Neurospora crassa OR74A: one gene and its partners. The protein of the gene in region 2 interacts with the protein of the main gene of each other region in a pairwise test. Links are inferred from orthologs where the notes say so. Each region holds a gene or a part of one and is shown on either strand. Other genes may lie near its edges.

The links.
Region 1: the proteins of NCU03321 (region 2) and NCU11175 interact in binary tests that used the Saccharomyces cerevisiae proteins (3 or more experiments, as listed by UniProt). The link is inferred for Neurospora crassa OR74A from reciprocal best matches to the Saccharomyces cerevisiae genes ERB1 and DRS1.
Region 3: the proteins of NCU03321 (region 2) and NCU05289 interact in binary tests that used the Saccharomyces cerevisiae proteins (3 or more experiments, as listed by UniProt). The link is inferred for Neurospora crassa OR74A from reciprocal best matches to the Saccharomyces cerevisiae genes ERB1 and NOG1.
Region 4: the proteins of NCU03321 (region 2) and NCU00925 interact in binary tests that used the Saccharomyces cerevisiae proteins (3 or more experiments, as listed by UniProt). The link is inferred for Neurospora crassa OR74A from reciprocal best matches to the Saccharomyces cerevisiae genes ERB1 and NOP7.
Region 5: the proteins of NCU03321 (region 2) and NCU02546 interact in binary tests that used the Saccharomyces cerevisiae proteins (3 or more experiments, as listed by UniProt). The link is inferred for Neurospora crassa OR74A from reciprocal best matches to the Saccharomyces cerevisiae genes ERB1 and NOG2.
Region 6: the proteins of NCU03321 (region 2) and NCU07712 interact in binary tests that used the Saccharomyces cerevisiae proteins (3 or more experiments, as listed by UniProt). The link is inferred for Neurospora crassa OR74A from reciprocal best matches to the Saccharomyces cerevisiae genes ERB1 and DBP10.
Region 7: the proteins of NCU03321 (region 2) and NCU09349 interact in binary tests that used the Saccharomyces cerevisiae proteins (3 or more experiments, as listed by UniProt). The link is inferred for Neurospora crassa OR74A from reciprocal best matches to the Saccharomyces cerevisiae genes ERB1 and HAS1.

The regions. Positions count from the first base shown.
Region 1 is NC_026503.1:3,109,903-3,114,172, reverse strand, and holds the start of NCU11175 (ATP-dependent RNA helicase drs-1), read right to left. Parts: upstream 2,801-4,270; 5' UTR 2,630-2,800; coding exon 902-2,629; intron 845-901; coding exon 83-844; 3' UTR 1-82. Other genes in the region: NCU00234 (hypothetical protein), read right to left, coding at 3,287-4,270. UniProt on the Saccharomyces cerevisiae protein: ATP-binding RNA helicase involved in ribosome assembly.
Region 2 is NC_026501.1:5,301,410-5,305,590, reverse strand, and holds the start of NCU03321 (eukaryotic ribosome biogenesis protein 1), read right to left. Parts: upstream 2,801-4,181; 5' UTR 2,737-2,800; coding exon 2,342-2,736; intron 2,272-2,341; coding exon 2,032-2,271; intron 1,959-2,031; coding exon 1,846-1,958; intron 1,786-1,845; coding exon 573-1,785; intron 506-572; coding exon 127-505; 3' UTR 1-126. Other genes in the region: ada-4 (all development altered-4), read left to right, coding at 3,987-4,053, 4,165-4,181.
Region 3 is NC_026504.1:5,445,385-5,449,654, reverse strand, and holds the start of NCU05289 (nucleolar GTP-binding protein 1), read right to left. Parts: upstream 2,801-4,270; 5' UTR 2,609-2,800; coding exon 2,577-2,608; intron 2,521-2,576; coding exon 2,491-2,520; intron 2,390-2,490; coding exon 2,361-2,389; intron 2,296-2,360; coding exon 2,278-2,295; intron 2,208-2,277; coding exon 2,064-2,207; intron 1,962-2,063; coding exon 901-1,961; intron 830-900; coding exon 185-829; intron 92-184; coding exon 50-91; 3' UTR 1-49. Other genes in the region: NCU05290 (orotate phosphoribosyltransferase), read left to right, coding at 3,230-3,931; NCU05291 (polyamine acetyltransferase), read right to left, coding at 4,238-4,270. UniProt on the Saccharomyces cerevisiae protein: Involved in the biogenesis of the 60S ribosomal subunit.
Region 4 is NC_026501.1:6,705,681-6,709,868, forward strand, and holds NCU00925 (pescadillo), read right to left. Parts: upstream 2,732-4,188; 5' UTR 2,604-2,731; coding exon 612-2,603; 3' UTR 501-611; downstream 1-500. Other genes in the region: NCU00926 (hypothetical protein), read right to left, coding at 1-133; gpit-2 (glycosylphosphatidylinositol transamidase 2), read left to right, coding at 3,153-3,306, 3,389-4,188. UniProt on the Saccharomyces cerevisiae protein: Component of the NOP7 complex, which is required for maturation of the 25S and 5.8S ribosomal RNAs and formation of the 60S ribosome.
Region 5 is NC_026501.1:2,685,339-2,689,285, reverse strand, and holds the start of NCU02546 (nucleolar GTP-binding protein 2), read right to left. Parts: upstream 2,801-3,947; 5' UTR 2,469-2,800; coding exon 2,159-2,468; intron 2,098-2,158; coding exon 1,732-2,097; intron 1,677-1,731; coding exon 1,513-1,676; intron 1,132-1,512; coding exon 112-1,131; 3' UTR 1-111. Other genes in the region: NCU02545 (hypothetical protein), read left to right, coding at 3,164-3,947. UniProt on the Saccharomyces cerevisiae protein: GTPase that associates with pre-60S ribosomal subunits in the nucleolus and is required for their nuclear export and maturation.
Region 6 is NC_026504.1:2,109,868-2,113,994, reverse strand, and holds the start of NCU07712 (ATP-dependent RNA helicase dbp-10), read right to left. Parts: upstream 2,801-4,127; 5' UTR 2,687-2,800; coding exon 2,374-2,686; intron 2,308-2,373; coding exon 1-2,307. Other genes in the region: NCU07713 (DnaJ domain-containing protein), read left to right, coding at 3,121-3,234, 3,318-3,893. UniProt on the Saccharomyces cerevisiae protein: ATP-binding RNA helicase involved in the biogenesis of 60S ribosomal subunits and is required for the normal formation of 25S and 5.8S rRNAs.
Region 7 is NC_026502.1:4,196,447-4,200,608, forward strand, and holds NCU09349 (ATP-dependent RNA helicase has-1), read left to right. Parts: upstream 1-1,437; 5' UTR 1,438-1,580; coding exon 1,581-3,197; intron 3,198-3,266; coding exon 3,267-3,386; 3' UTR 3,387-3,662; downstream 3,663-4,162. UniProt on the Saccharomyces cerevisiae protein: ATP-dependent RNA helicase involved in 40S ribosomal subunit biogenesis. Required for the processing and cleavage of 35S pre-rRNA at sites A0, A1, and A2, leading to mature 18S rRNA.

The DNA of each region.
Region 1 (4,270 bases), on a different chromosome or scaffold from region 2:
TATCAAAAGCACACTAGACTTAGCTTGAAGCTCAATTACATTTAGAAACTCAACAACAACAACAGAATCGTGCTCCTCACATTTACTTTCTCCTGCCCTTGCCCTTACCACCCTTACCAGCATTGCCGCCCTTCTTCTTAGGCCCAGCAGACCGTCCCACCTTCTTGACGACCTTCTTGAGGTTCAGCACCGCGCCCTTACCGGCTCTCTCGGCGCTGCCCTTCTTGTATGTCCTCTCCTGCTTGCGCTCTTGCATGGTGTCGAGCTTCTTCCTGTCCTTGTTGCTCAACTTGCCCTCGTTCTTGGACTTGAGCTTGTCCCTGACGCCGTTGAGCTCGGCCCGGCCCGCCGCCTTGGCCTTCTTCTTGTCCTCCTGCGTCTCGAACCACGTGCGCTTGGGCCTCGAGCTGATCTCGTCCTCGTACTTGATCATGTTCTCGCCCTTCTTGACCTGCATCTCCATGTTCTGCAGCTGCTTTTCCTCCTTCTCTTCCTGCATAATCTCCTCAATCTCATCTTCCAACTCGTCGATCTCGGCCTGCCACTTGTCGGCGTCCGCGGGATCGATGATGCGACTGCTGATCTTGGCGCCCTGAGACTTGCCGGCCTTGACGGCAGCCTTGACGACCTTGCGATCGGGCTCAGCAGCCAGGGTAATAGCGGTACCGCTGCGGCCCGCACGCGCTGTACGACCGACACGATGGACGTAGATCTCGGGGGTCTGGGGAGCCTCGTAGTTGATGACGGTGTCGACACCCTTGATATCAAGACCACGTGAGGCGAGATCGGTGGCAAGGAGGAAGTTGACCTTTCCATCTCTGAAGTCCTCGACACTTTGAATACGCTATGGATCCTGTTAGTATCACTCATCCATCTGGAGCATCGTAAATCGTAAACATACCTGAGCCTGGTTCATGCTACCGTGCAACTCGGCGCACGACAATCCAAACAGACCAAAGATGATCCTCATCTTGTGCGCAATCTTCTTTTGTCTGAAGAAGATAATGACACGCTCCGTGTAGATAGTCTTGCAGATGTGCAACAGATATCCTTCCCTCTTCGATTCGCGACCGGGTCTGAGACGGACAAACTCTTGAACAAGCGTACCGGCAGTCTTCTTCTGCGAATCGGCCATGATGCGCACAGGCTTGTTGAGACCGGCGCGAATGAGCCTGTCGACAGACGACGTCATGGTGGCAGAGAACAGCATGGTCTGGCGGGACTTGGGAAGGGTGGTAAGAATCTCGTTCAACTCGTCCGCGAAACCGTCCTCGAGCATGCGATCGGCTTCATCGAGGACGAGAATCTCGATGGTGTCGACGGCGAAGCTGGCAGAGTTGCGCATGTGATCGATGAAACGACCAGGAGTGGCAATGACCACATCCGGGCGAAGACGGAGCTCGGCCTCTTGCACCTTCAGACTGAGACCACCGACAGCCAGACAGAACTTGATGTCGGTATGGCTGGCGAGCTTGACAGCGACAGCGTGACACTGGATAGCCAACTCACGGGTGGGCGTAAGAATAACGACGCGGGTGGTGGGAACCTTCTTGGGACGGTAGAGGAGACGCTCAAGGATGGGAACGACGAAGGCGGCCGTCTTACCGGAACCGGTGACGGCACCACCGACGACATCCTTACCCATAAGCGAAATGGGGATGGTCTTGGCCTGAATGGGCGTCGGCTTGGTGAAGCCCACGGAAGTAAGACCGCGAAGGATAGGACGGGAGAGAGACATCTCCTGGAACGAAGACATCTCGCCCTTCTTCTTAGGCTGATTCTCCTCCTCCGGCGCAAAGAACTCCTTCATCTTGGCCTCCTCCTCCTCATCAATACCCTCTTCATCATCCGATGACTGCACATCATCAGGATGCTCAACGGCCGTAGCAACCGAGTCATCATCCGACGCATCGCCCTCGTCTTCATCCTCTCCCTTCTTCTCCCCATCTTCACCCTCACTATCCTCATCCTCCCCATCAACACCCCCCATCTTCGCATCCTGCTTCTCCTCCTCCTCTTCCACGTCCGACCCAACACCCATACCAAAAGCATCGTCAGCCAAGACACCATCCTCATCATCATCCAAATCCACATCAATCTCTTCTATGTCGTCTTCTTCCTCATCAACCTCCATCTTATCCTCCTCCTCTTTTGTCGCCGTGGTTTTCCCCTCCTTAGCAGCCTTCCTCTCTCTCCTCCTTCTGATAATCTCATCGATATCCACAGCCTTCTTGTCCCCGCCCGCGTTGGCGCCCTTCACAACACCCTTGTGCGCGCCCTCGAAACCCCAGCCGTCGAACTCGGCGTCCACTTCGTTCTGGCCGTCGACAACGAACTGGAACTCGGTATCCATGGCGCCGTCGTCTTCGTCGTTGTCGCCCCAGATGCCGAGGTCGGCGGCGTCGTCTTCTTTTGTTTCGGCTTCGTCGTCGTCATCTTCAGTCTGTTGCTGTTTCTTGGACTTCTTGTTGTTCTTCTTCTTTTGCTTGTTCGATTGTTGTGTGGCCGTCTTGGCCTTCTTCCTGGGTACAACTTCTTGCTCCTCTTCTAGTGGGATGTCTTCTTCATTGTCGGAAATGGTGAGGATGAAATCGTCGTCGATCGCTTTGCGCTTTTGGGAGGGCGCCATTGTGGTGGATGGTGTTGCAACGGTCTGTGACCGTTGTTTGTTCTGTAGTGTTGTGTTGGAAAAGAGAACGACGGGAAGCTCCCGATGCTGAGTGGGAATTGGTGGAATCGTCAAGATTGTACAACTGATAGCAGTCAGTGGGGTCTTTTTTCGTCTCTTCCTCCGCCGCAGAACGAAAGGGAAAACAAAAATTTGGGAACCATGCCCGTCTGTAACTTTTTCTGCCGGGCGGTCAATGTGATTGGAGGATCTGGGGATCTTATCAGTGGCAGCTGGTCGACAGCTGCGGGGATGGGTACGTACCATCTCAACTATCAAGTGAGTACCTGCCGTCTTCGGGAGCAACTCGTTCAACACCACATTGTCCCAAGAAATTGAATACGCGTTCATGTTATAGAGCCAGAGGACCTTGTCCTTACTACAGTAGGACTATATTTATACTTGTGCGGGGCATATGGTCCAGCTATTCTCAACGCAGATGTATCAGCCCGTATTATATGATGATACTACACAGGAGTCATCTACCCCGTCGATACCCAAAATGAACGCCAGACACCTTGCCAATGGTATAATGCTAATCCTCAAACCTTCGCCTCCAAAACATCAGTTGCCCACAACGTAACTTTCTTCACATGGACCGCCACATTATCACTCGTGCTACCGTGTGGAGAAGCTCGCCGACGCTCCAAGGAAGTCCTGGTCATGCCCCTGGTCCTGCTGGTAAGTCTCCTTCTGCTTCTGCTTCTTCTTCATTTCAGCGCGGATTCGTTCTTTCTGCGCCTTCAAATGCGCCATTTCAACATCATCCAGCAAGAATTTCTGCTCATCGATATCCCTTCCACGTCCGGACGCGGATGCTTGCGGGTAGAGAGGGTCTCGTTGATATCCGTCACCTGGCAATTCGTGCTCAACAATATCCCACGTAGCATGATAGTAGCCATCTTTGGTTGGTGGCAGCTCAGCATGCGCCCTTGGCTCCTCCAGCTTACGGATCGCGCCGCTTTCCATTGCAGCGTACTCCTCTGTCGATGCGTATGGTGGTAAAGGACCGTTATTACTGGCGCTCGGGAGATCAATGTCCTCCCATGGATGTCTCCTTTCCATCAGAGATGCGGGTTCGCCTTGTAATTCAACTCCTCTAGGTGGTCTTTCAATCATAGACTCGTCGGGAGGCACTGTAGGCGAAGTCACAGCTGGAGTGGGCGTTACTCGGTTGGGTCCATATGAGACGATTAATGGGGGCTGTGGCCGTTGGGTTTGTGAGGTTGTTGGGTTTGGTCGTGGGAGCGTAGTAGGAACTGAAGGAAGAGGAAGATGTGGTGTTGAAGTTGGAGCTTCGGTTGGAGGAGGGGTGGTGTACTGTTCGTAGTTGTGGTAATCGGGGTAATAGCCACCGAGAGGTGCTGCGGAGGCCGCAGATAACTGGGGCAATGAGGGCATTGGGGGTACTCCAAGCCGGCTGTCAAGGGAAATCGAGTCGGCAGCAGCGCGTTCATTAAGTTCTCCCCTGGAGCTTGCCCGCGGCGTTAGCGTGGGAGTGACAGGGTTCGGCCCGTATGACGTAGGAATTGGCTGGACAGTCTTTGCGCGGGCAGCTTCGAGTTCTCGTCCGGTGATGCTCAAATTTTCCGTCACCCCAAG
Region 2 (4,181 bases):
TCATAATAATAGCACATCCGAGCACGCCAATCAAGACAAGCAGACTGATTAACCTGTCCTCTCGCTTCCGTTTTCCTTCCTTGTGTTTTGTTCATCTTTTGTCTCGTCCCATTAAACGCTGTTCTTTTACATCCAGAGACGGATGGTGCCGTCAGCACCGGCAGACACACACCACGGCTCACGCGGGTGCCAGTCCATATCCAGGACACCAAGCTTGTTGACGACCTTGTGTCCCTTGAGCACCTTGACAGGCACAATGGTGGGGTTCTCCAGCTGATCGTTCGGGACCTTGCCGTGGAAGATTTGGAGAGTGCCGTCGTCACTGGCATCAGCGAAGAGCGGCAGGCCGCCCCTGTGGTACTTGACCTGACGAACCGCCTCGCTGTGGAACCTCATCGTCTTGTACGGACGAATGGAAAGATCCAGATCGTGCCACAAGAGACGCTTGTCGTAACTGCCAACAATCAAGTTGTCACCGCCGGGGTGGATATCGAACGAAGAAATCCTACAAGTCAACAGAGTTAGCAAATCAATTCCAGTCACATTATCCGGCTAGCCATGGGGATACGTACCACTTCGCGCCAGGCTGGACAACCTTGACCAGCTCGAGCTTCTGCAAGTCGTAGCAGCGAATTGTTCGTTGAGTGGCGACGAAGAAGAGAGGACGGAGGGGATGGAAAGACGCTGTCTGAGCCAAGCCAGAAAGCTTGCGGAAGGGAATCTGGGTGAGGTGCTTGGAGAGCGTATGGATGGCTACGGAGCTCCTCTGTCCGGAAGGCGATACTGTCGCAAAATGGTCTCCTTTCCTGTGCCAGTTGATGACCTTCACGGTCGACCTGACTGTGATCCTGATCAAGACACCCTCATCCTCGAGCTTAGCACCGGGGCGGGCCCACTTGGCAGGAGGCTCCTTGCCGGGAGCAGCGCCGTGTTGCTGACCGTTTGTAGCATAACCGAAGCCAGCCGACAGGATATCTCTGCTAGCCTGGTCCAAAGCAGGAGTAACGCTGGCGTGTGTAGGAACCATGAGGTAGACATCCTCACCCACAGCAGCGGAGAGAATGAAAGAGTCCTTCGCGGGCCTCCACCTAACGGTGTTGACAGCCTCCTCACTGCTGAGCTTGACGGACCAGACTTGGCGACCCGTCAACAGCTCCCACACACGTACCGTACCGTCGTCGCCACCGCTAGCGACAGCAACACCAGTAGGGTCGATGGCAACGCTTCTTACACGGCCGTCATGGCCGCGGAAAACTGTTTGGGCAACTGTAGGGAAAGGCTTGAGCTCAGAAGGCGAAGGAAGCTTGGGCAGGAGCGAGTTGGGATCGATGTTGAGCCTGTTCTTCCGCACACGAGGAGCAAGGTAAAGGTCCATGCACCTCTCGAATCTCTCCTTGACGATCTCGCCATAACCGGGAACTTTCCGCAAAGAGTCGTATTTCTGAGGGAGATACTCCTTCTCGCGCTCCTCGGGGTCGAGCTTCTCCCACTCCTCTCTCTCCTCCTTGGTCGGTAGGTATTCTGCGGGCGGGTTGTAACTCATGTCGAAACCAGGAGGAGGCAGCTTGGGTGCCGGGATGTGCAAGGGGTTGACTTCTTGTGGCACCTCATCCTGCCAGATATCAAAGTACTGCTCCTCCTCTTCCTCCTCCTTCTCGCGCTCCTCAGGGGGCTTGTAGGGCAGGATCCTGCCTTCCCTAATGGCGCGAACAAGCTTCATAATCTTCTTGGCCTCGTTCTTGGAGGGGAGGAAGCGACGCTTGGGCTCAGGGGCAGCGCTCAGGGCTATTGACTTGTTAGTTGCACCATTTCAACAACGATAAGTGTAGATAGATTTTGACTTACGCATTTTCTCCTCAATACCAGTAAAGTATTCCACGGTTTCAGGGTAGGGGTTTTCCAGCTCGTTGGGAATCATACCCATCTGGACACGGCGAACAAGCTCCAATTCATCATCACTACGGTATGGCAGTCAGTAAGCGTGACCCGAAGAAACCGAGCAAGACAAAGGAGGATGGGTTGGGTGCATACTTGAGGTTGAGAGGGTTGCCGGTGTGAATATCCGTAAGGCCAGTCCAGCCCTTGGGCACTTCGATGCTGTCGAGGAGAGCATCAAGAGCGTCGCCAGTGGCCGGGCGCATAATCTTCTTGCCGTTGATATCATAGCCGATATGGGGATAGCTGTCGTAGAAGCTCATGGGGATGTTGCCGATGGTGTTTGGCGCTTCTTGGGCATCGGAATCGTCCGAATCGTAGACGGGGTCGATCTCACTGTTGCATTCTCGAGTTAACTATGCTGGCATGGAACGATATTTGATCCATTTGCAGAACAACAACATACTCGTAGACGTAGCGCTCGTTGCCGTTCGCGTCCTTTTCGATCCGATAGTTCTTGTCTCCATCATCCTTCTCCGGCCGCTTGGGGTCGACTCCGGGTATCTCAATCTCGAGTTCCTCTTCTTCGTCCTCGAGAACAAGTTTGCCCATTGCCTTGTCGCCCTCAGCATCGGAGGGAATGTCGTCGCTTAGTAGGGAGCCCTCCTCATCTTCGTCGTCGCTGGCCTCACTTCCGCTTTCCTGCTCGCCGTCCTGTTCGTGCTCATTGTCGTCGAAGTCAGAATCGAACTCGTCTTCGCTCTGCGACAGGGCGCCGTCAAAATCGGGTGCAATCTCGTCGTCGGACTCAGGCTCGGCGTCCTGGACCTTTCGCTTCTTCTCGGTGGCTTTTGGCCCCATTGTGAATGTGTGTTGATTTTTGGCGTGTTTTCTGCTGGTAAAACACCCAGATAGCGTCGCAGCGATAGGCGTCGAAAATTCCTAGCATACGAATTGGCCTGGGACTTTTTTTTCTGCCGGTTCTACAGCTCATGGCGGGGACGAGTTGGTCTCACCGCCCTTGGCATTTCTGGCAGCTAAAGAACCATAACATATTACCCTATCGGTTTAGCGTGTCAAAAGACAAATGAAGCCAGGAGCATGCACTCCGTGTCTCCGTCCCTCTGATACCGACTTCAAATTTTTAGCCTTATTTGTTACTTGTATATCATGGATGAGATGAATACCGAACTCCAACCTCGATGCAGCATCCCTCTGCACCCCTACACCTGGCTTCAACCACGCACGATTCCACTTCTGTAGTTCGTCCTGCCCGTTCTGTGGGTATTGGCAGTCAAAACTGGCAAACCAGCATCAATCAAATACCCGGCGTGATCAGATTGAGTCTCCATGGATCGCTTGTAATTACAGACTTTTGTTCGAATTTTACCCCATTGCCTCTTACACTACGGTTTTTGTCACCATCGCCGTCTTTTTGCGCTTTCCAAGCATGGCAGTTGACAATATGTAGTGTAGCACGACGCCTGCTAGGGAACCTTGATGGGCTAGGGTTACTCGACACCTTCACACTACACTACTGCCATAAAACCCACGCTATAGTCATCCCATAACTAGCAAAAGGACATCATTCATGCCTTTGGCCAGTGAGCCACATATATGTCCAAAGGCCTGGGTGTTTGACTGATACACTACCAGTGCCATTTGAGGCAACGCGGCAACAAAAGTCAGTCTCTGCATTATCTGTGTCAATTGCGGCTTATTAATATGGCATCAGGTCTGGCGCGACCAGGTGATCTTTGATTGCTTGCGTTGGCTCGTTAACATTGCGGGCCTGGAGCATCTTGTCTGAAATCTGCTTTCTTTGCCCTCCTCTGAAAACGAGTCGATCCTATCATCCTAGGTCCCTTGTTACAACGTACATATCCATGCTGTTTGCCCATCTACTGTGTACACCACACTAGCGTCTACATAGATAGTGTCTTGGAGTACCACCGGGGCGATTTCTGTGTCTTCTAAGCGGGGCTTGCGGAGAGCCTTAGACGTTTACCTTACCACTCAACCCTTTTTATCCACCACACATCTACGCCCGCGGAAAAGAAGGGGAGAAAAAAAAAGCAAAATAAAGGAAAGGCCGGTTGCGGAAAACAGCCATGATCTCAAACAGCGAAGTCACTAAGGAGAAAGAGCCGGTGAAACGCCGTGCCTGTGACGAGTGCCGTATGTTTCGTCCCGCTCCCCGTTTCGATCCATATATTCATCTACCTCTACCCTCTAGTCAGCAACCATGACTGCCCAACCGCACTAATGTATCTAAATTAACAAATGCAGGGACACGGAAACTTGCT
Region 3 (4,270 bases), on a different chromosome or scaffold from region 2:
ACACACCCAACCCAACCCAACCCAAACATATATGGATCATCGATCCAAATTAACGACGCTGTGTCTTGCCGACGGTACGCTTGCCGGAGAACTATAGAAAACATGTGTGGTTAGTTTAGGAATGAAAAGAGAAAAGAGAAAAGGGGGATTGAAGGAAGGGGAAAAGAAAAGAAAAAAGACGTACCAAATGCTTGGGCATGGTAGCACCAATATGCCTGTCGGCCTCGCCGGCTCTGGCCATCCTGTTCATCTTGCGCTGGCCGAGCTTGGCCACCCTCTCGGCCTTGGAGCGGGCTGTCTCCCCGTCCATGCCCACACCACCAGTAACACCGTCGTCGCGCCTGTTTGTCGCGCCCTGGCCACGCTGGGCCGGACGGCTCTGAGAGCGAAGACGCTCGGCGGCGCTCTTGGGCGTGTCCACCTCCATGGCGTCGGGGTCCTCGGTGGCGTTGCGGCTGCGGGCCAGCGAGCGGCCGCGAGTGGGCTCGCGCACCTGGGCACGGCCGCGCAGGTTGATCTCCTCGGTGTCGACGCCGAGCTGGTCGATGTGGTCCTCGAGCTGGGCGAACGACTTCTTCTGCATTTTCCGGGGGATTATGGCGCGGTTCTTGAGCGACTTCTTCATCTTGGCCTCGTTGCGGATCAGCTTGTGCTTCTCGCGGATGTACTCGGCCTTTTGCAGGATCTCCTCCTCCGACTCGTCGCCGAGGTCCGAGTCCGACTTGTAGAAGCCCTCCTTCTCGAGACGCTCCTCTTCCTCTTCGAGAGCGGCCAGCTTGGCCTCGATATCGGGGTCGATGAAGTCGTAGACGTTCTTGCCGTCGACAATCTGTTCGTCAAAGCGTGACATGTTAGTAACCGGGTTTAATTTGGGGGAGACGGAATGCGAGAGATACTGACCTCGGGAATCTTGTCGTACTTCCACTCGGGGTTGGCCAAGATCCAGTTCTCCCTGAGATCGACGTTGAAGACACCAGCACCACCGTTCTGCTCCTCGATATCCCTGGCGAGAAGTTTCCTCTCGGGGTCGGCCTTGTCGTACTTCTTGAGACCCTTGACGGCCTCGGGAATGAAGGTCTCGCGGAGAACACCATCGGCGGGCTGGGCGACGTGAATACGGGACATGACCTCGGTGAGACGGGAGCCCATGGTGCCGTTGCTGCTGGTACCGGCCTTGTACTTCTGGTTGACACGCTCAACGAGGAGAGCCTCGCAAACGGTGTTCTTGACTTCCTGGACACCGTCCTGAGTAGCGCAAGAGGCGCGCAAAAGCTGAATGTTGCCGGACTTGGTAAGGTCCATGAGATCGGCCTGGGATTCGGGGTCGAGGTCCTCAACGGTCTTGATATCCATCTTGTTCAGGACAACGTAGACCATCTTGTTCTCGAAAAGGGGCTTGATGGACCTAAACAAGTTGCACTGGGCCTTGAGCGAGTAACCGCACTGCTCCGAGATATCGATGAAGAACATGACGGCGGCTCTGAGATGGGCAAGGGCAGTAACTGACTGCATTTCGATGGTGTTCATCTCTTCGAGAGGGTGGTCGAGAATACCAGGGGTATCGATGACCTGGTAACGGAGGTACTTGTAGTCGAGGTGGCCGACGAACAAGCTCTTGGTGGTGAAAGCATAGGGCTCGACAGGGGTATCAGCGCGGGTGACGGAGCGCACGAACGAAGACTTGCCGACGTTGGGGAAGCCGGCAACGAGGAGGGTACGGGTGGTAGGGTTGATATCGGGCAATCTGGCCAAATGCTGGCGGACCTGGTCGAGGTAGGCGAGAGGGTCTTTCAGACGCTTGATGAGGGTGGCCATACGACCGAGGGCGGCTCTCTTCAACTGCTTGCACTGGTACAAACTTTGCGAGTACTTGAGGAGACGGACGTAATCACGAGAGATGGTCTCGATCAAGTGCTTGGCGGTCGAGACCTGACCAAGGGCAACCTTGAAGTGGTCGGCATCTATCCATCACCTTGTCAGCCACTATTCCCAACAAGACCAGGCGCGGTTCACAACCCGCTGTTGCTGAAACCGCCTGTCGCAGGGAAGCGCGGGATTCGTACCGTAGAGAATGTTCATCAAATCGCGGTGGAAAGGATGCTGGTCGGCGAGGATGGGGAAGCTCGAGACGATGGCGCCGAACTTTTCGCTGCATGTTTCCTGTGTGAACTTGACCTTACGGGTGTAGAAGGCTCTAATTCTGCTGACTGTTCGGTGTCGCGTGTCAATGATCTATTCGAATTCTCATACAAAGTATCGGATATCGAGACGACATACTCTTGAAACCAGCACGAACTATTCAAAGTAAAGGTTAGCGATCATGCCATGCTTCACGTAATTTTCCACATTGTACAACATACTCTGAGTCGGCAAGCGACGCTGTGTCCTCCTGTTGAACAGTTAATATCCTTCACCACCGTGGCCAAGCCATTGGACTCGAACTCGAAGACTTCGCATCGTCGTGGTTGGGGGCTGCCGATGTCGACTTACGAGAGGATGATGTCGATGAATTCCTGTGCCCTGTAGAAGCGAGTTAGCGATGCCAAACAACAACACAACAACCAAGATGTCCTTACGTAGGCACAGGGGCAATGTCCTTCCACGTCATTTCGGGTATAGATGTCAAGCACTTGCTGGTGAGAAGATCTCGGACTGGAAGTGCAGGACAATGAGGTCGGACGGACGGTCTGAAGGATAGAGACCGGCTGCGGGGGGAGGGGGCGGTGTTGGAGGGCGACGGGGAGGCGCTGCGCTGCCAAATGGAAAGTCTACTTCGAAATATTTTTCCAGCGGCTGCTCCAATCGATAAGATAACAGCAGAGTGCCAAAGTGGATTGAACCTAGAGGTAGTGTGCGCTGCCAAGACATGCTGCCAAGGGGTGCTTAAGGATTCGGCTAGTGTGGAATTTAGGATTTTCTAACCCCACATTTTTTCAGGGACCCCACCGCGCCCAAGTGGCCGATGACCGGGCTTTCGCGGGCCTGGCTCCTGGAACTAGGTGGCCCACTCGTAACCCACCATCTGATTGACTCGGTTGAAAGACTGCCGCGTGTGACGCCGCCAGGAACTGAACCCTTCCTTCGGCCCCTCCCTCCATTTTCTCAATTTTCCCCAGGTTCCTCCAGCTATTCAGTTGCCAGGCAGACAGACGTCAACGCTGTTCTTCTGAAATCTCTTCTTCTTCTTTCAGCTTCAATTCCAATCCTACAAACACTACGTACCAGCACAATGGCCGCTCTCTCGCCTTACAAGGCTGACTTCCTCAAGGCCTCCATCGACGGCGGCGTCCTCAAGTTCGGCAGCTTCGAGCTCAAGTCCAAGCGCATTTCCCCCTACTTCTTCAACGCCGGCGACTTCTACCGTGCCGACCTTCTCCAGGCCATCTCCACTGCCTACGCCAAGTGCATTATCGAGGCTCACAAGAGCGGCCAATTGGACTTTGACATTGTTTTCGGCCCCGCCTACAAGGGCATTCCCCTCGCTACTGCTGCCACCGACAAGCTTGCCCAGCTTGACCCCGAGACCTACGGCAAGATCTGCTACTCTTTCGACCGCAAGGAGGCCAAGGACCATGGCGAGGGAGGCAACATTGTTGGCGCCCCTCTGAAGGGCAAGAGGATCCTCATCGTTGACGATGTCATCACTGCTGGCACTGCTAAGCGTGAGGCTATCGCCAAGATCGAGAAGGAGGGCGGCATTGTCGCTGGCATCGTCGTTGCTCTTGATCGCATGGAGAAGCTCCCTGCCGCTGATGGTGACGATAGCAAGCCCGGCCCCAGTGCTATGGGCGAGCTCCGCAAGGAGTACGGCATTCCCATCTTTGCCATCCTTACTCTGGACGACATCATTGAGGGCATGAGGGGTCTTGCCTCCCCTGAGGACGTCGAGAAGACGGAGGAATACCGCGCCAAGTACAAGGCTACCGACTAAACGCTGGAGTTGGATTCTCTGATAAACTAGTAACATGTATATCACAGGTTTGTTCGCCCAGTACCCTCTGACCATAGCCACAACATCAAACCTGTGGCTGACACTCTACAAGAAGAAGAAGATGAAGAAAGAAAAGAAGAAGAAGAAGGATAGGGATTGTCAGGTTCTGATTGCGCATCCAATCAATCTTTCCACCGACTTTGGGATCCCACACAGAAGGTCTAATCTGATTCCACAAGTTTGGGGACGCGCCGAAATATGTTGATTTCGGGAATGTTGCCGTTCTGAAATACCATATGATACCCACTAGGACGGAGTTTTGACGGCTTTCACTTCATA
Region 4 (4,188 bases), about 1.4 Mb from region 2:
ATGTGGAGGGGGCCCCATTCCACCGATTGGGGCGGGTTTCGTGCAGTTCATCTGATGCGATGGAATTAATCTCTTCAGTGTCCTTATCCCAATCCTCGTCGCCGGAATCTTCTTGATTCAAGTGTGAAGACATTGCATGGCCCAGTTTAGTGGGTGCTCTTCCCGCGTTGGCAGGGTTGTTGAGTGCAAATTCTGGTGATCAATCACTAAGGACGGGAGTGACAAGAGATTGAAGGTCGAAGAACCGCACTGACGTACGAAAGCATCCCAGTAGTAGTACCACAGCAACAAGGATGGAGAAACTGATGAACCTCTGACTCCTCACTCAATTCTTTTACTTTGTACTCTCACCTTTCGTTGGTCCTATTTTCGGTTCGTTCCAACTTCTCTTGGGCGTTACGGTTTGGTTCGTAGCGACCCCTAACCCTCAGACGAAAGCCTCGTGGGCGCTCGTTTTCATGTCACGATTATTCACATTTGCATCAGTTCAGGACGACGAGTAGGATTCAAAACTTGTCGATTACACAAAAAGAAAAGAGAAAAATGAGCCTTTGGTATCCCATTTCAAAACATAAAGTGCTAAAAAATTACGCCTTGCCAGTGTTTTAACCTTACGCCTTCTGCGCCTTTTCCTTCTCCAGCTTTCTCCTCTTGGCGCGGAGCTTCTCGTCCTGAGCGCTCTTCTTGTTGTTGGTATACTGCATCTGCTCAAACAGCTTGCGCTTCTTCTTGCTCAGCATGCCCTTGGCGCGCTCCAGGTCCTCCGCCTCCTCGCGTGCCTTCTTTTCAAGAGCCTTGCGCTGTTCTAGCTTGGCTTTGGTCTTGGAGTCTACCTTTGTATTCTGCACCTTCTTGCCTTGGAGCTCGGCTTCTAGCTCAAGCTGACGCTGGAGGGTCTTGGACTCCTCCTCATCTTCCTCAGCATCCTCCTCCTCGGCCTCCTCGGCATCCTCCTCGTCACCCTCCTCCTCTTCTTCATCGTCCTCGGCCTCATCAACATCCATGTCGTTTTCGACATCGGAACCATCCTCAGCATTACCCTTCTCGGCATCCTCGAGGTCGGCTTCAATAGCCTCGGCCTCGGTTTGCTGAGCCTCAAGGGGCAGAGTAGGATCGTACTGGCCAGGGGCGGCCTTGACGAAGGGGCTAAGATGGGGAGGGAGAGCGGCGCCAGGAGCATAGAGCTCAGGGCTCTTGAGTTCCTCGTCGTTGACGCAGTCCCATACCCATTGGGGCTGGACATATATCCTGCCGGGGTATCTCTGGTTGGGTCCGACCTTCTGGGCCGTCTGATTGTCCTCGCCATCGCCATCCTCGTTGGTAGCGGCTTGTACGACTGGCCTGTCAATGATGTGATGGGTGATGGAGGGATCCGACTCGTCATTTGTGAAGGCACCCTCGCCGAGGACGGAATCCCAGCCTATCCTCTTGCAGCCAAAGGCACGAAGAATGAACTCGAGAGGCTGGCGGGGGGTCTCACGGGAGAGGTAGAATGTGAAGTTGGCGAACAGCTGCGAAGGGTCACTGCTGCTGTACGCCGGCTGAGGAAGAACATCACCACCAGGGGCAACTGGCTCGAACTTGTCGATGGAGTCTGTGGGCTTCTCCTCATCGTCGGCCTCGGCATCTTCCTCGGCAGTCTCGTCGCTCTTGGACTCGTCCTCCTTCAGTTGCTTGATAATCTTGTCAACCTCAGCCTGGACCTTGGGGTCAGGACCCTGCTGTTGTTCCTCCCCGTTTGTGACGGCCTTGGTCTCGCCCTGGGTGGCCATGTTGACACCCTCCAGAGAGAAAGCGCCGAGCTCAGCACCGTTCTCGTCCTTGAGCTGGTCGAACTTGGGAGGATACTTGAGGCCGATCGAGCTGTAAAGTCGGTAGTTGACGAATCCAAGAAGAGTCATGTAGAACTCGACGAAAGTGCCCATAATGCGGAAATCGACATCGCCGACGATCCTCTGGTTGAACTTGTAGGGAACGAGCCAGAGAATATCCTCGCCCTGGATGTTGGCCTGGTAGTAGATACCCTTGATCGACAGGAACGACTTGCGCAGGCTGTGGGAAACAATAAGGTAGTGTTGGAATTCGAGGCAGAGACGCTCGCAGCGGGCGATCATCTTGGCGGGAACCGCGCTCGTGGAAGGGAGGTTGGCGAAGAGGAAGAGCATGGACAAGCAGTCATCGAGATCGCGGAGCGCGTCGTTGAAAGTCGGGTAGCGCTCACGGATGACGTGGTTGAGAGTGTACCTGGGCTTGCCAGTGGCCTCGGGGCGGGCAGCATGGCGCTCGAAGCGGGCGGCATCCGAAACATCACCTCTGCCAAGAGCACGGGAGATCTTCTTCTCGAGCACCTTCTGGTCACGGAACTTTTGAAGAAGGGGCTCGTGGAGGAGGTACTGAATGTCCTTGGTGTAGTAGAAGGTGGTCGAGGCAGTGGCCGACTTGGAAACCTTCTTCTTGTTACGAGGCTCGCGCGGGTAGATACCCTTCCAGATGCAAAGCTTGCGGAAGTCGGGAAGGCTAAGCTGCAGCTTCTTCACAGCCTGTGTGCGGGTGATGTAGTTCTTGGCCGCGCCGGCCTGGCCCTTCTTCTTGATTTTTGGCATTTTGGGGTGTGGTGGTGGTGGTTGTGGTTGTTGGGTGTAGGTGGAAGAGTGAGAGAAGGAGAAGAGGACCAAGGATGGATCTCTTCAGTCTGCAGACTCGATCGTTATCGAAGCCAATTGTAGGTGGGGGCGCTCTGTGCACTTGCAATCAACTTTTTTTCTGACCCTCGCGGTCCTGAACTTTTTATGCCACTTCCCACCGCCTGAGCTGATCAAAGATAAGATAACGTAGCGGATGGAAAGACGGGAGGCATCAGATAGGCACAGATGAGGCTACTAGAATACATACTGGGCCCGTCTGGCCCAGATAGGTTCCCGCTCCCGTCTGGATTGGATTCCAGAACCCCTTGTCCCACAGGGACCCGCCAGCTGTGGAGGCCGGGCCAGCTGTCGGTCTGCTTTGGCGGGGACAGCGATTGACAAGGCGACCTAACGTGCTGGGCGCGACTCCTGTATAGCGCAACTGGACGGGCATGTCGTTAGAAGTAACTTGACCCTGGGACAAGTTCGACATCACAGCTCCCACCTCGTCGTATGGCGAATTGAACAATGAATGGCGGCAAGGTAACGTTGAGGAGGACGGCTGGCTTATACGCCGGTGCTGCCGTCCTGCGACTTGCCCTCTTTACTCTGTTCCCCGGTCTTCCAGACCTCCTGACTGGCCGTGTCGAGATCTCAACGCCAGTAACAAGCTTCAAGCGCCGTATGTTGTAGCTTTTGTTTTTCTCTTCGGCATTCGTCGCATCGTCTCGAGGAACACAGGTTTGCTAACTACCAAAATCTAGTCCAAGAAGGCCTCTTCCTGTATAACCATAACGTCTCTCCTTACGATGGCGGCGTCTACCACCAGGCGCCCCTCTTGCTGCCCATCTTCAACTTGCTCCCGAGCTTCGCGGCGTTTCCCATCTTCACGTACCTTCTCTACATCGCTATCGATATTCTGAGCGCCCATGCTCTTTTAAGGATTGCAGAGTCTGGCGAGGCCAGCTCGTCTGCGCGCTTCACCTCCCCGCGCCGTGACAAGCGTTGGAGTGGTGCCATCATTGCCGCGCTCTTCCTGTTCAACCCCTTCACCATCGCGACATGCATTGGGCGTTCGACCACCGTCTTCACGACCTGTGCCATTCTCCACGCCGTCGCCAATGCCATCTCCGGCAGACCCTTTCACGCCATGGTCGCCCTAGCCTTCGCATCATACCTCTCCATGTATCCGCTACTCCTCCTCCCGCCTCTCATTCTTCTTTGCTATGACAGGCAGAAGTTGCCCGCTACCGGAGCGCCCAATGCGTGGATCAAGTTTACCGCGACCATGGTTATGGATGCGTTTGGTGCTCTGGCAGTGCTTTTCCAAATGTCGTTCTTCCTGACCGGCTCATGGGAGTTCCTTAGTTCCACCTATGGTGTGCAACTTACACTGTCTGACCTGGCCCCCAATATCGGCCTGTGGTGGTACTTCTTTGTCGAGATGTTCGACTCGTTCCGTTCATTCTTCTTGGCCGTCTTTTGGCTGCATTTGTCGTCATATGTTGGCGGGTTGAGCGTGCGCCTTCGCCAGCAGCCGCTTGCGGTGATCACTCTGCTGCTG
Region 5 (3,947 bases), about 2.6 Mb from region 2:
TATCAGTGACACCGGCCGTCATGATCCGATTGGATCGTTACCAACCCTGAGGTCGGCTATTGAACGCATGCTCGGTTCACCCCAGCCGCCCATCGCGTTCACTGACCGAGTTTACTTCCTGCTCCTCCTTTGCTTCTTCGGGGGAGGTGCTGGCGCAGCCTCGGCTTCTGACTCAGACTCTTCGAGTTCGCTGGCTCCTTCGATGTCGAGGTCGGATCCTTCCTCGTCATCTTCGACGTCAGAGCCCTCCTCCTCGCCATCCTCTTCCTCATCGCTCGACGCGTCCAGGGGTATCATATCTTCAGCAGTGCTCTTCTCCTCACCCTTCTCCTCAGCAGCCTCTTCGACCTCAGAGTCGCTGTCACTGTCGAACCCGGCAAAGTTCTCAGGGTCTTCCTCCTTGGCATCCTCTCCTGCTGAAGCGGGAGTGGTAGCAGGCGCGCTGTCGTCCTCGTCACGTTTCCGCTTCTTGGACATTTCACCGTAGCGTCCTTCGCGACCCTCCATGGTATCAGTCTCACCCTCCTCCTTTTCGGGGGCAGGCGTGAACCAAGGAATCTTGCCTCGCATGAAGTCATTGAGAACCATCTTCGCAACGCCATCAACGTCAGGCTCACCACCCTTGAGAAGTCTGCCGCCCTTCCTAGCAAGCATCTCAAGGAAATGAATATGGTCCTTCCAGCCCTTGAGCTCATATGTCCTCTCCATGTGGTGAGGTTTGACCTTGTTCAATACCGCAGGGATGTATTGCTCCGGGTTATCGACGTTTTCCACACGTACAACACCACGGAGCAGGAGATCCTGTGGCGTATCGTTCTGGTTGGGAGGAACAATGCCAGGGCAGTCGATGAGGTAGATCCTCCTCATCAAGGTGACGTACTGCCAGACCTTGGTCTCTCCGGGAATAGGGGCGACCTTAGCAACGGGCTTCCCACGAAGGGCATTGATGATACTCGACTTGCCGACGTTGGGGTAGCCAACAAGACCGACGCTGATCTGTTTCCTGTCCTTGTGCAGGATACTGAACTGTCTGAGAAGATCGATCAAAGAACCACGACCGAAGGGGTTCTTGATGCTAGATCTCATAGCACATGTAGGATGATCCTTCTGCAGAACGCGAATCCACGCGGCCTATTGTTTTCAGTTAGTCCTCAACTCGTTACTGAATATAACATATATGTATAATGTGAAGAAATGTGTGAATCATAACTAAGAAGACCACCATGGTAGAGTCTGCTCAAAGGCAGGGTGGAATTCAACTCAAACGAAACACGTCCGGTATCCCGTGAAGTCCTCCAAAACGGAGTCCATCAAATCCCCAATCCCAAGACGGGACCAGAGAGGTTGGGAGGTGGATATTAATCTCCCAGCGATGTAACAGACCAATCCCAATGAAGCGCAACTGAATGCGGGAAAGATCCTGACAAAATCCCTGGGAACCTCAGGATTTGCGCGAGGCAAGTCAAGAGATTCAAGCAGAAGGAGTGAAAGCAAATAATGGTCTACACTTACAGCAGTCTTGGAAGGAACAAGATCGATCTTGTTCAGCACGAAAATAAGATGCTTGTGAGGAGCCTCAGTGGCAAGGTATTTCTCAACGTGACGACACCTGGTTCCCAGAGGATCTCTGGCATCGATAACGTGCAGGATGACATCTGACGAATCAATGACCTTGTCTATGTGATGGTTAGCAACCCGAAGTCACAAGTCCCCAAACACAGAAGGACTTACACAGTTCGTTCCAAATACGCTTCGACTGGCCCTTTGTGAAGATAGCCTCCTTGGCCGTCGCGACACTGAAATCCTCCTCTTGAACATCGTCATCGGCAAGACCACCGCCATATCCAGAAGCACCACTTAGAAGCTTGATCTCCTCGAGTCTGGCCTGGTATGTATCCATGCTCTTCTCGCTGTGTTCTGTCAAGTCACCGATCGTGTTGAAGCTGAGTTTTGGCCTCTTCCTTTGGGCCTTGGGGCCAAAGGTCTGTGAAAACGGCTCGCTCTCAATCGTCATCTTGGCTTGGTGCTTCTTCAACGCATCCTTGGGTCCATCTCTGATCAAGCTCATGGGGAGCTTGTTGCTTTTCAACAGCACCGCTACAAGACAAGGTGCGTTAGTCTTGGTCGGCCGGACAAGTGACGGAAGAGTTGAACGTACAGTAAGGATCCTTGTCCTTCTCGGCAATCGCCTCCCGGAAAGATGTCAACGTATCTTGCGAAATGACTCTGGTGTTGTTGAACCATCTCCGGTTCGGCTCGATGACGGCTGTGGGAACATCTCTGCTCTGATACGACGCGGCCTTGACGACCTTGCCCTCCTTGTTGCGAATGGCCTTTCCCTCCTTCAGCACGTTCAAGGCCTTGATCTTCTTTGCGCTCCGGTAGAAGTTCTCGCCCTTGACCTTTGGATCACCCGTCACCTTGCCCTGTCGCTGAATGCGAGACTTTTCCTTCTTTCCTGTTCCCATTTTGGCAGATATCACTCAATGCCAGATTACCGAGTAGGTTGGTGGGTAGAGGATGCAGATGTGGAAGAATTTCGTTCTCGCCTGCGAGAGCGGCTGGGGGTATCCGTAGATCGGGGGGTTTGAGATTGACTTGAAAGAAGAAGCACACGAAAATAGGGAAGAATGGGTAAAAGGCTAGAAACGAGGCTATGGGGTATCAGATATCGGCAGAGGGTGTTGCGTGAGAATCGAGAGGATGAATGGACTGGGGAAGAAGAAAAGAAGAGAGGGAAGCGAGGAAGGAATGAGAAGGAGGAAATGCAACTCTGCGACTGGTCCCGGCGAAAGTTTTGTCAGTTTTTTTTTTGGGCGGGGTGTGGAGGCCGCGCAAAGGTCCCCATGCACAAAAAGTTTAGCGGTGTACGACGGCAGAACGCCCGCGACCAGCAAAGCTAGTAGCACCAAGAGCACTCTAGCGCCGTTCTGGCCTCCCCGAGCTTTCAGAATTTCGACGGAGTTGAAAGCCCCCTCGTACCGCGGCGTGTCCCACGATCCCGAGCCGAACCTACCTACCTAGGAGAGCGAGAGGCCGCTGCACCCGCCTGGTCCGTTCCCTCCGTCGCACGAAACCTCCGCATAGCACGGCCCGGCCAGAAGTCTCCCAACTCCGACCCCATCCCGCTCACCCCGTCTTCAGCCAACCCTCCACCTCAAAAATGGCGCCAACTCTTGCCAGGCCGTCGCTCAGCGGCGTGCAATTTATCCTTTCTTCCCCGACCACAACATGCGCTGCCACCAGCGTAGTAACACGCGCCATCGCCGCCCGATCTTTCAGCACCACCCGATCGGCTAGAGACTCGGTCTCCATCCCCCCCGATTCGCCCAACTACATCAAGGTCCCCGAGCCGCCGCAGTCTTCCGAGGTTAGGCACCCTTTCGTCAAGGGCCACCTCCCGATCCCCCGCTCCATTTTCCCAAAGAAGGGCGTCCCGGAGAAGGTCCAATCCGGCTATGTCAATCGTATCGCTCCCAAGTCCGCCGCCGAGCTGGCTGGTCTGCCGCCCAAGTCGAAACAAGAGTCGTGGCGTCGCAAGATGGCCGAGGCCCGGCGCCAGTCACTCGAGGCCGGTCTGCAGGGACTCTGGCAGCGCAAGGTGAAGCGCGACCAGAAGCAGGCGAAGGAGAGCAAGGCGCGCTACTTGGCGAACAAGCGGGCGGCCCAGGCGCCGGAGCGTCTGGACGAGGTGTTCACGCGCGCGACGATTCGCGAGAGCACGGCCAAGAACACATTCGTACCCCTGGACCCAGAGGCTTTCGTCAAGGCCGAGGAGGCGCGTATTAAACATGCAGAGAAGGAGGCGATGAAGAGCGAGGCGCGCCGGGACGCCGTCGTCCAGCTGTACGTGGCGTCCAAGAACTTCATCGTGGACGAGAAGGAGCTGGAGGAGCACGTCAACAAACACTTCACCGAGAAGATCCACAACGCCGGTCTCTGGGAAA
Region 6 (4,127 bases), on a different chromosome or scaffold from region 2:
TGAACTTGTCCGCATCCTTGGGCGCCTTCTCCATCTTGTGCTTGTACCGCGGTTGGCCAGGTTGGGCTCCGAAGTTGCGGATGAGCTGCGACTTCTCCGTCTCGCCAATCGTGGGCAACTTGCCGAGACGGTTATCCTTGCGCCACCGGTCGAAGCGGCCGCTCTTGAACGAGGCGGCAATCTTGACACCGGACTCGCCACGAATCATCTTGGCGCCCTTGGAGCCGTCCTCATCGTTGGCGACCGCCACGTACTTGCTGTGACGCTTGTCCCAACGCATCTTGGATTTCGTGGGCAGACCGAAGTTCTTGGCACTCTCGTCGTTGGTCAGGTCCATGGTAGCGTCGCGAGCGGCCTCGACGAAGCTGTTGCCGCTGTAGCCGCCCGAGTGAACACCGTAAGCCTTCTCCTCCGCAAGGCTAGTGGTGCGAGGCGTGTAGGACATGAAGATCTCGGGGTCTTGGAAGTTGACCGGGCCACCCTTCTTCTTCGTATGCATGCTGCTGGATACTGTAACCTCCATCTCCGAATCCGAGTCGTCGGCGTATGGGTCTTCCTTGGCTTCCGCCTCTTCTGCCTCTTCCGCCTCTCCCTCCTCTTCCTCATCCTCAAAGTCTTCGAACGCATTGGTCTCCTCGCCGTCAGGTTTACCCTCGGCATCTTCCATGTCCACGTCCTCATCATCCTCGTCGTTGGTAGTCTTGCGCTCCTTGAATCTGGAACGCATGTTTCGTACAACTTCCGCGGCCTTATTGCGGCTAGACTTGCCCTTAGGGCCAAGTTCAAAGATGGTTTCCTGGGGCTTGAAGCGGTTTATCCTGCTGAGAAGATCATCGCGAGCTGCCTGGGCTTCAGCGGCTTCTTCTCCAAACAAAGGATGGAGCTGTGTCCAGCCCCTGGACTGCGTAACTTCGCGGGCTCTCTTTGCGCTCTGGCTCGACGCAGAATTCCTCGTCTTCATGTAGAGCTTCTCGGCCTTTGCGGCAACACCCTTCAGCGCCTTGAGATCGGCACTCTCCTTGAGCGCCTTCTCAACCCACTCAATGTTAACATCCACTCCATCTCTCTTTAGTGTTCCAACTACGACGTCTGCCGCGAAGGAAGGGTTCTTCTGATCGTGGCCGATAATAAGTTTCCTTCCCAGGAAGAGCTGTAGATCAAGTAGATATGGTACGTCTGACTGACGGACCAAACCATAGGCCCAACCACGCTGACCCGCACGAGCTGTACGACCAACACGATGGACAAAGATCTTGGGCTGAGATGGGAAATCGTAGTTGATGACGTTGGCGAGAGCAGGCATATCAATACCACGGGCGGCGACATCGGTAACCACGAGAATATGTGTTCTTCCCCGACGGAAGTTGTCAACTTGGATCAAACGGGCCGTCTGGTCAAGCGAACCGTAAACGTAGGACACGGCAAAGCCTGCGAGTTTCAACAGGTTCGCAATGTACTCGACGTGATGTTTCGTTGCTGTGAAGATGATGGTCGAGTATTCCGTCGGCTTCTCCTTAGGATTGGGCCTGTACTCGCGTTTCCTTTTCCTCGCCTGCAATTCGTCACTCTCTTCCTTTGTGCCCTCGGGCGGACCCAGCGGGACCTTGATGACGTCGTGGAGAAGATGGAGAAGGGCACCCTCCTTCTCACCTCCCTTTACTGCGAAGAAAGCACTCTCGAGGTCGGGTGACACCTTGGTTTCGGCATCCAACCTGACAAGGCTTGGCTCTTGAAGACCGGCTCTGGCGAATTCGACCAAGGACGATGGGAGCGTCGCAGAGAAAAGAAGCGTCTGTCTGGAAGGAGGGAGGGCGTGAAGAATTTCGGTCAACTCAGTAGCGAAACCCATTTCGAAGAGGCGATCAGCTTCATCGAAGACAACGTATTTGATGGAGGCCAAAGAGAGGTTCATTTCAACCTTGAGATGGAGGAAACGACCGGGTGTGGCGATGATAATATCGGGATTCGACGCCATCATACCAAACTGTTCTTCTAGGCTGTCACCACCGACGAGCAATACGGTCTTTAGATCGGTACCTCTGCCGAGTTCCTTGACGACCTTGAGGGTCTGCAACGCAAGTTCACGCGAGGGAGACATGATGAGCGCCCTCGAGCCAACACGTGGACTGTGCCCCTTCAACCTCTCAATCATGGGGATAACGAAAGCTGCAGTCTTTCCGGAACCGGTTCTGGCCATGCCGACCACATCTTTTCTTTCTAAAATCAGGGGGATCGCTTTGCGCTGAATGGGGGTCGGGACGGAGAAGCCTTTTCTGGTAATCGCTCGGAGGAGATGGGCGTTTAGACCTAGGAGAGTATCAGCAGCTGCCCCAAGCATCATCAACTTATGCCATGGGACGGAAGACTACGCACCCATTGCCTGGAAACCTCCACCCTTCTTGACTGATTTGCCCTGAATGTTGGAGGACTTTCTCTGCGAGCTCCGTGTGAGCGAAGCGATAAAGGCTTCGTCATCATCGCCCTCGCCATTAAAGCTAGGTAGTCCATCATCGCCGTTACCGAGAAGATCGTTGAAATCGAGGTCAAGCCCGCTGTTCGTAACAGCTCCCTTCTTGGTGTGGTGCTTGCTGCTGTTGTCTTCGAAGTCGCTGTCGTTGTTGAACAAAGCACCCGCGATGTCAACCTCGTTCTCGGACGGTGTGGGGGACGCTGCGCGTCTAGGCATGGTGAGCGAGGGTTGTGTTGCTGCCAATTGCAGCACGAATCGCTAATTGAAGATGCAAAGACGGACGGGGTGGGTTGGAGTTTAGGTTGGTGATGATGATGGGGTCTTGGGGTCTCTTGTCTACTGTAGCCATCAATGCCTGCCCGTCACCCGTAAATTTTGGATGGTCGACTTTTTAGTGGGGCCAATGTGACATTTATCCATTATCAGCTTATCAAGTACACCCATTGCATGCCCGTGGGTTTGCCTTGGCAGCGCTGGCGTGCGTTAGCTGTGCTTTCCGCGCTCCTGGAGGTGTCGCAAGTCGCAACTACTGAACTTCCCTAAACTTCCCCGGAGTTGCGTTCCGTTTGGTAGACCGAACTTACTTATCCATCAACCCTTTGTAATTGATCAAACAAGCATCCAGATTGACCCTCCATTCCGGCGACAATATGGCGACAGACACTAAGGACGTGAAGGACGTTAAAGACGTCAAAGACGAAACTCCTGCCGACACTCGGGATGCGCTTGAAGTGCTGGAATCTGAAGCCAAGGAGTGGGAGAAGGCAAGCCAGACAACAACCACGCCCAACTATACCAACATTTACATCCCCAACTCAGTAGTTGCTGACAATCTAAATTCCGACAGGATGCCGAGATCGACCGTATCTTGAAAGCCTTCCGGCTCGACGCCTACTCAGTCCTCGGCCTCAAGCCCGGCGTGACCGAATCCGACATCAAGATTGCTTACCGCAAAAAGTCCCTGCTGATCCATCCCGACAAGACCAAAAACCCCTTGGCGCCTGAGGCGTTCGATAGACTGAAGAAGGCGCAAACGGAGCTAATGGAGGAGAAGCACCGCAAGAACCTAGACGAAGCTATCGCGGACGCGCGCATGCTGCTGATCCGCGAGAACAAATGGACGGTCGACAGCCCTGAGCTCAAGACGGCCGAGTTTGAAAAGAAGTGGCAGGAAAAGACCAAGTTTGTGCTGATCGAGAACGAGCAGCGACGACGCAGACAGCTCAAGGCGCAGATGCAGGAGGAAGGCCGCGAGCAGCGGAAAGCTGACGAGGAGGCTGAGCAGCGCAAGCGCAAGAGGCAGCACGAAGAGGACTGGGAAAAGACGAGAGACCAGCGCATCGATAGTTGGCGCGCGTTTCAAAAGGGCAAGTCTGGGGATTCGGATAAGAAAAAGAAAAAGAAGTTGAAGCCTATTGGCTGAGCAAGAAGAACCTGCAATGCTCTTTCATATGAGCATGCGCAGCAATATTCAACTACGGCAATTGCAAGATGTGTTCATCAACGATGCAGTAGCGGAGCTTACAACGAATCGAAGGAAGCCATTTTTCTTGGGTTTAGAGGAATGGGGGTGTTTACACGCAAAGCTTTGGGTCGCGACTTGGTCGCTGTTTTATGGGACAAGGTGCTTATACATATACACATCAGAGAATCATGT
Region 7 (4,162 bases), on a different chromosome or scaffold from region 2:
GACATCTCCCCTTACTTGTTCCATCCATGTTTGTCCTCTGCTCCCATAGTCCAGCCCTACAAGCAAGGCTATACGTAGCTCGAGACCCCATACCTTGTTTACTAGCCAAAGTCAATCGCAAGGGGCAAGCGGGAGCTAGGCAATTCGAAGCCAAATTACCAGCCCGATCGGCTTGAGCCGTGTCTACGCCTCCTGGGGCACCACTTGGCAGCAGAAAGACGGGGAAGTGAGATACAGAGTGTATCGAGATTTAACATAAACGTGGTTTCGATTCAAGAACCAGAAGTTCTTGTCCGATTTTATTTTATGGGATGCCTTCTGGATTGTTTCCGTGATGTCTGTCCGTGGTGTTGAGCGAGTGGTGTTGAAGAATAGGGCCATGGGACCAGATTATATCATGAACATCAACTTCCGTGCTGATACCTCCCATTGGAACCATTCTCAGCCTCAGATCGTGGAAAGATGCGACCCAAGGCAGCAGTGAGCCAAAGACCGAACCACACTTGTGACTCGGTCAACTCCATGGAAAATGATCATGTTTTCATGTAATAAAGGTGTTGTTACTTCCGACGTGACCAAGATAGCATCCCGTCAGCCTTGAGAGAATATGAAGGATTCCGAAGGGGTTCATGAAACTTCACTTCAGCCAATGTAATGATGCGAGGATATTGATCTGCCATGTGTACTGTTATGTATCGACCCAGGGGCCTCTCGGCGAGTGACACTTCCAACCCAGGGACCTGGATTCGAAGCTGACTGGTACGTTCCAATCTTGCGCCCTGTATCCCGCAGACGGGGTAAGTTTCCAGCTGCCCCGAATTATCGATTATCGATCAAGGCAACCCGTAGCCTGACTATGGACTTGTGTCAAGGCCTTCGAAGTCGTCCGCTGGACGGGAACTGCAAAGTCCACCAGGCTATTGACTGGTCTGTCTCAATCCACTAAACCTTTGGAATAGAAATGTAACATAAGAAGAATACTGCAATGCCAGGATCTCAGAGGTACTGTACAGCGTTTGAATATCCGCAGTGTAAAGCAATGCCACCATGGACGACATCCAGAGCCTAATTCCGTGAGAGGGACAACGAACATGAAAGACCGACTACACGCGGTTACGTTGAGTATATCATGTCTATGACAGACTGGAGTAATTGCAGGAGAGGTGAAAGCGTTGTGATAATAAACGAATATCAGAGAAGAAAACAACATAATGCGGATTTGAAGATAAGAGGAAATGGACAAGTTCAGTTCTCGACTCTCGCAAGCAATTGGGGGCACAATTGGCGGGTTCCGGGGTTCGGCTGATCTGCAGTCAAAAGTGGGGTCAACACTGGGACGGCTGTAGCGCACAGACCAGGTTTTCATCAGGAGAAGAGGGCAGAATTGGCAAAATTTTCACCGCCTGGTGTAATCCCTGGTTATCGAACAAGCGATAAGAAAAAAATCCCCAGCGAAAGAGAAGGCAGAGGAAGGATAACAGATTCGACTCGCTGGGAATTTGAACGGAACCATTGCGACGCCCTTTTCCCAGAGTATCGCAACCACCCACCGACAGTACCAACCCCCCCACGCCATCACGATGGCTTCCGAATTTAGCAAGAAGCGCAAGCTCAAGGACGCCAAGATTGCGACCGAAGATGGCGCCGCCACCGACAAGAAGACCAAGAAGGTGAAGAAGGACAAGAAGGAGAAGAAGGCCGCCGAAGAGGTCGTCGAGGACGCCACCCCCGAGGAGGAGAACGATGCCCAAAAGGCGGAGGAACAACAAGATGGCGACGAGGTCATCCCCACCGGCAACGGGGACAAGGAGGACAGCGACGACAAGGACGCTGAGGCCGGCGACGAACTCACAAAGACCAACGACTCCCTCATCGCCCCGTCCATCGCGACCAATGCCACCGACTTCTCCGAGCTCAACCTGTCCGACAAGACCATGAAGGCCATTGCCGAAATGGGCTTCACCAAGATGACCGAGATCCAGAGGAGAGGTATCCCGCCTCTGCTCGCCGGCAAGGACGTCCTCGGTGCGGCCAAGACCGGTTCCGGCAAGACCCTCGCCTTCCTCATTCCCGCTATCGAGATGCTCAGCTCCCTGCGCTTCAAGCCGAGAAACGGTACCGGTGCCATTGTCGTCACTCCTACCCGCGAATTGGCTCTCCAGATCTTCGGCGTCGCCCGCGAGCTCATGAAGAACCACTCCCAAACATACGGTGTCGTCATCGGCGGTGCCAACCGTCGTGCTGAGGCCGAGAAGCTGGGCAAGGGCGTCAACCTGCTCATTGCTACTCCCGGTCGTCTGCTCGATCACCTGCAAAACACTCCCTTTGTGTTCAAGAACATGCGATCGCTCATCATCGACGAGGCCGACCGTATTCTCGAGATTGGTTTCGAGGACGAAATGCGCCAGATCATCAAGATCCTGCCCAAGGAGGACCGTCAGACCATGCTCTTCTCCGCCACACAAACCACCAAGGTTGAGGATCTCGCCCGTATCTCGCTCCGTCCCGGTCCTCTTTACGTCAACGTCGATGAGGAGAAGCAGTTCAGCACGGTCGAGGGTCTGGACCAAGGCTACGTTGTCGTCGACGCCGACAAGCGCTTCCTGCTCCTCTTCTCTTTCCTCAAGAAGATGCAGAAGAAGAAGGTCATTGTCTTCTTCTCGTCCTGCAACTCGGTCAAGTACTACTCCGAACTTCTCCAGTACATCGATCTTCAGGTTCTCGATCTCCACGGCAAGCAGAAGCAGCAGAAGCGCACAAACACCTTTTTCGAATTCTGCAACGCCAAGCAGGGCACCCTCATCTGCACGGACGTTGCCGCCCGTGGTCTCGACATCCCCGCCGTTGATTGGATCGTCCAGTTCGATCCTCCTGATGACCCGCGCGACTACATTCACCGCGTCGGTCGTACCGCCCGTGGTAACAACACCAAGGGCCGTTCGCTGCTCTTCCTCCAGCCCAACGAGTTGGGTTTCCTCGCCCATCTCAAGGCCGCCAAGGTCCCCGTTGTGGAATACGACTTCCCCAAGAGCAAGATCCTCAACGTTCAGTCCCAGCTGGAGAAGCTGATCGGCCAGAACTACTACCTTAACCAGAGCGCCAAGGACGGTTACAGGTCGTATCTCCACGCCTATGCTTCGCACAGTTTGCGGTCGGTGTTTGATATCCATAAGCTTGACTTGGTTAAGGTGGCCAAGGTATGTTTTCTCTTCTCTCCCTTTTTCTTCCCCAACACCAGAACAGTCACTAACGTACTACAAAAACAGTCCTTCGGCTTCTCCACCCCTCCCAGGGTAGACATCACCCTGGCCTCCAGCATGTCGCGTGACAAGAAGCAGACGAGCAGGAGAGCGTATGGTAGCCAGCCGAAGCAGAACCGTCACTAAGCGAGGCGGGATTCGGTGTTCGTGTTGTTGTTGTTGTTGGTTAGAATACGAAAAGGGGATGATGATTTGTCAATGTTCTCTCTTAGATATCCATCGGGCATTCGGTGTGGAGCATAGTGGGTGTTTTCTTTTGTGTTGCTACTTTGCTGTTTACTTGTTGTTGTTTGCGCAAGCTGCCAAGGCGTTTTTGGTTGAAAAGTAAAACTGGAGGGCTTCAAATCAACAATTAATTTTTACTTTACGTTGCTGCTCCGTTGGTGTGGTATTTCTGATGCTGTGCCGTTCGGTCATCTCGGGTGTCTTTCCATGTGAGGATGGAACATATTATCATGCTGACAGTTTCATTTGATAAATGGTAAGAAAGACCTTGAACAAACCACATCATATCTATTTTGCTACGCAATTGGAAAGATCGTGATGTTGATATGGCTGATGGAAAGCATGGAGGTCCTGAGTGTCACTCTCTATCAAGGATCCTTTGTAGGGATTCATAATCAATACCCAAATTAGGTAGCTGACAACCGGTACCAACTCAACACTAACCTCCAACAACAAAGCATGAAACAACCCACTGATGACAGTCTACTATTTCAGAACGACCTACATCGATACCTATTCTATCTGCAGCCCCAATCGACCCCCCGAACCTGAACTACATAACAGACGGAAACTCCCCGACACAAACCAACCTAACAACTTTACCAAATTTCACCTCGTCCCCAATATCCTCCCCTTCCCCTTTCCCAATATCCTCTCCTTTCCCTTCCCATCACTTC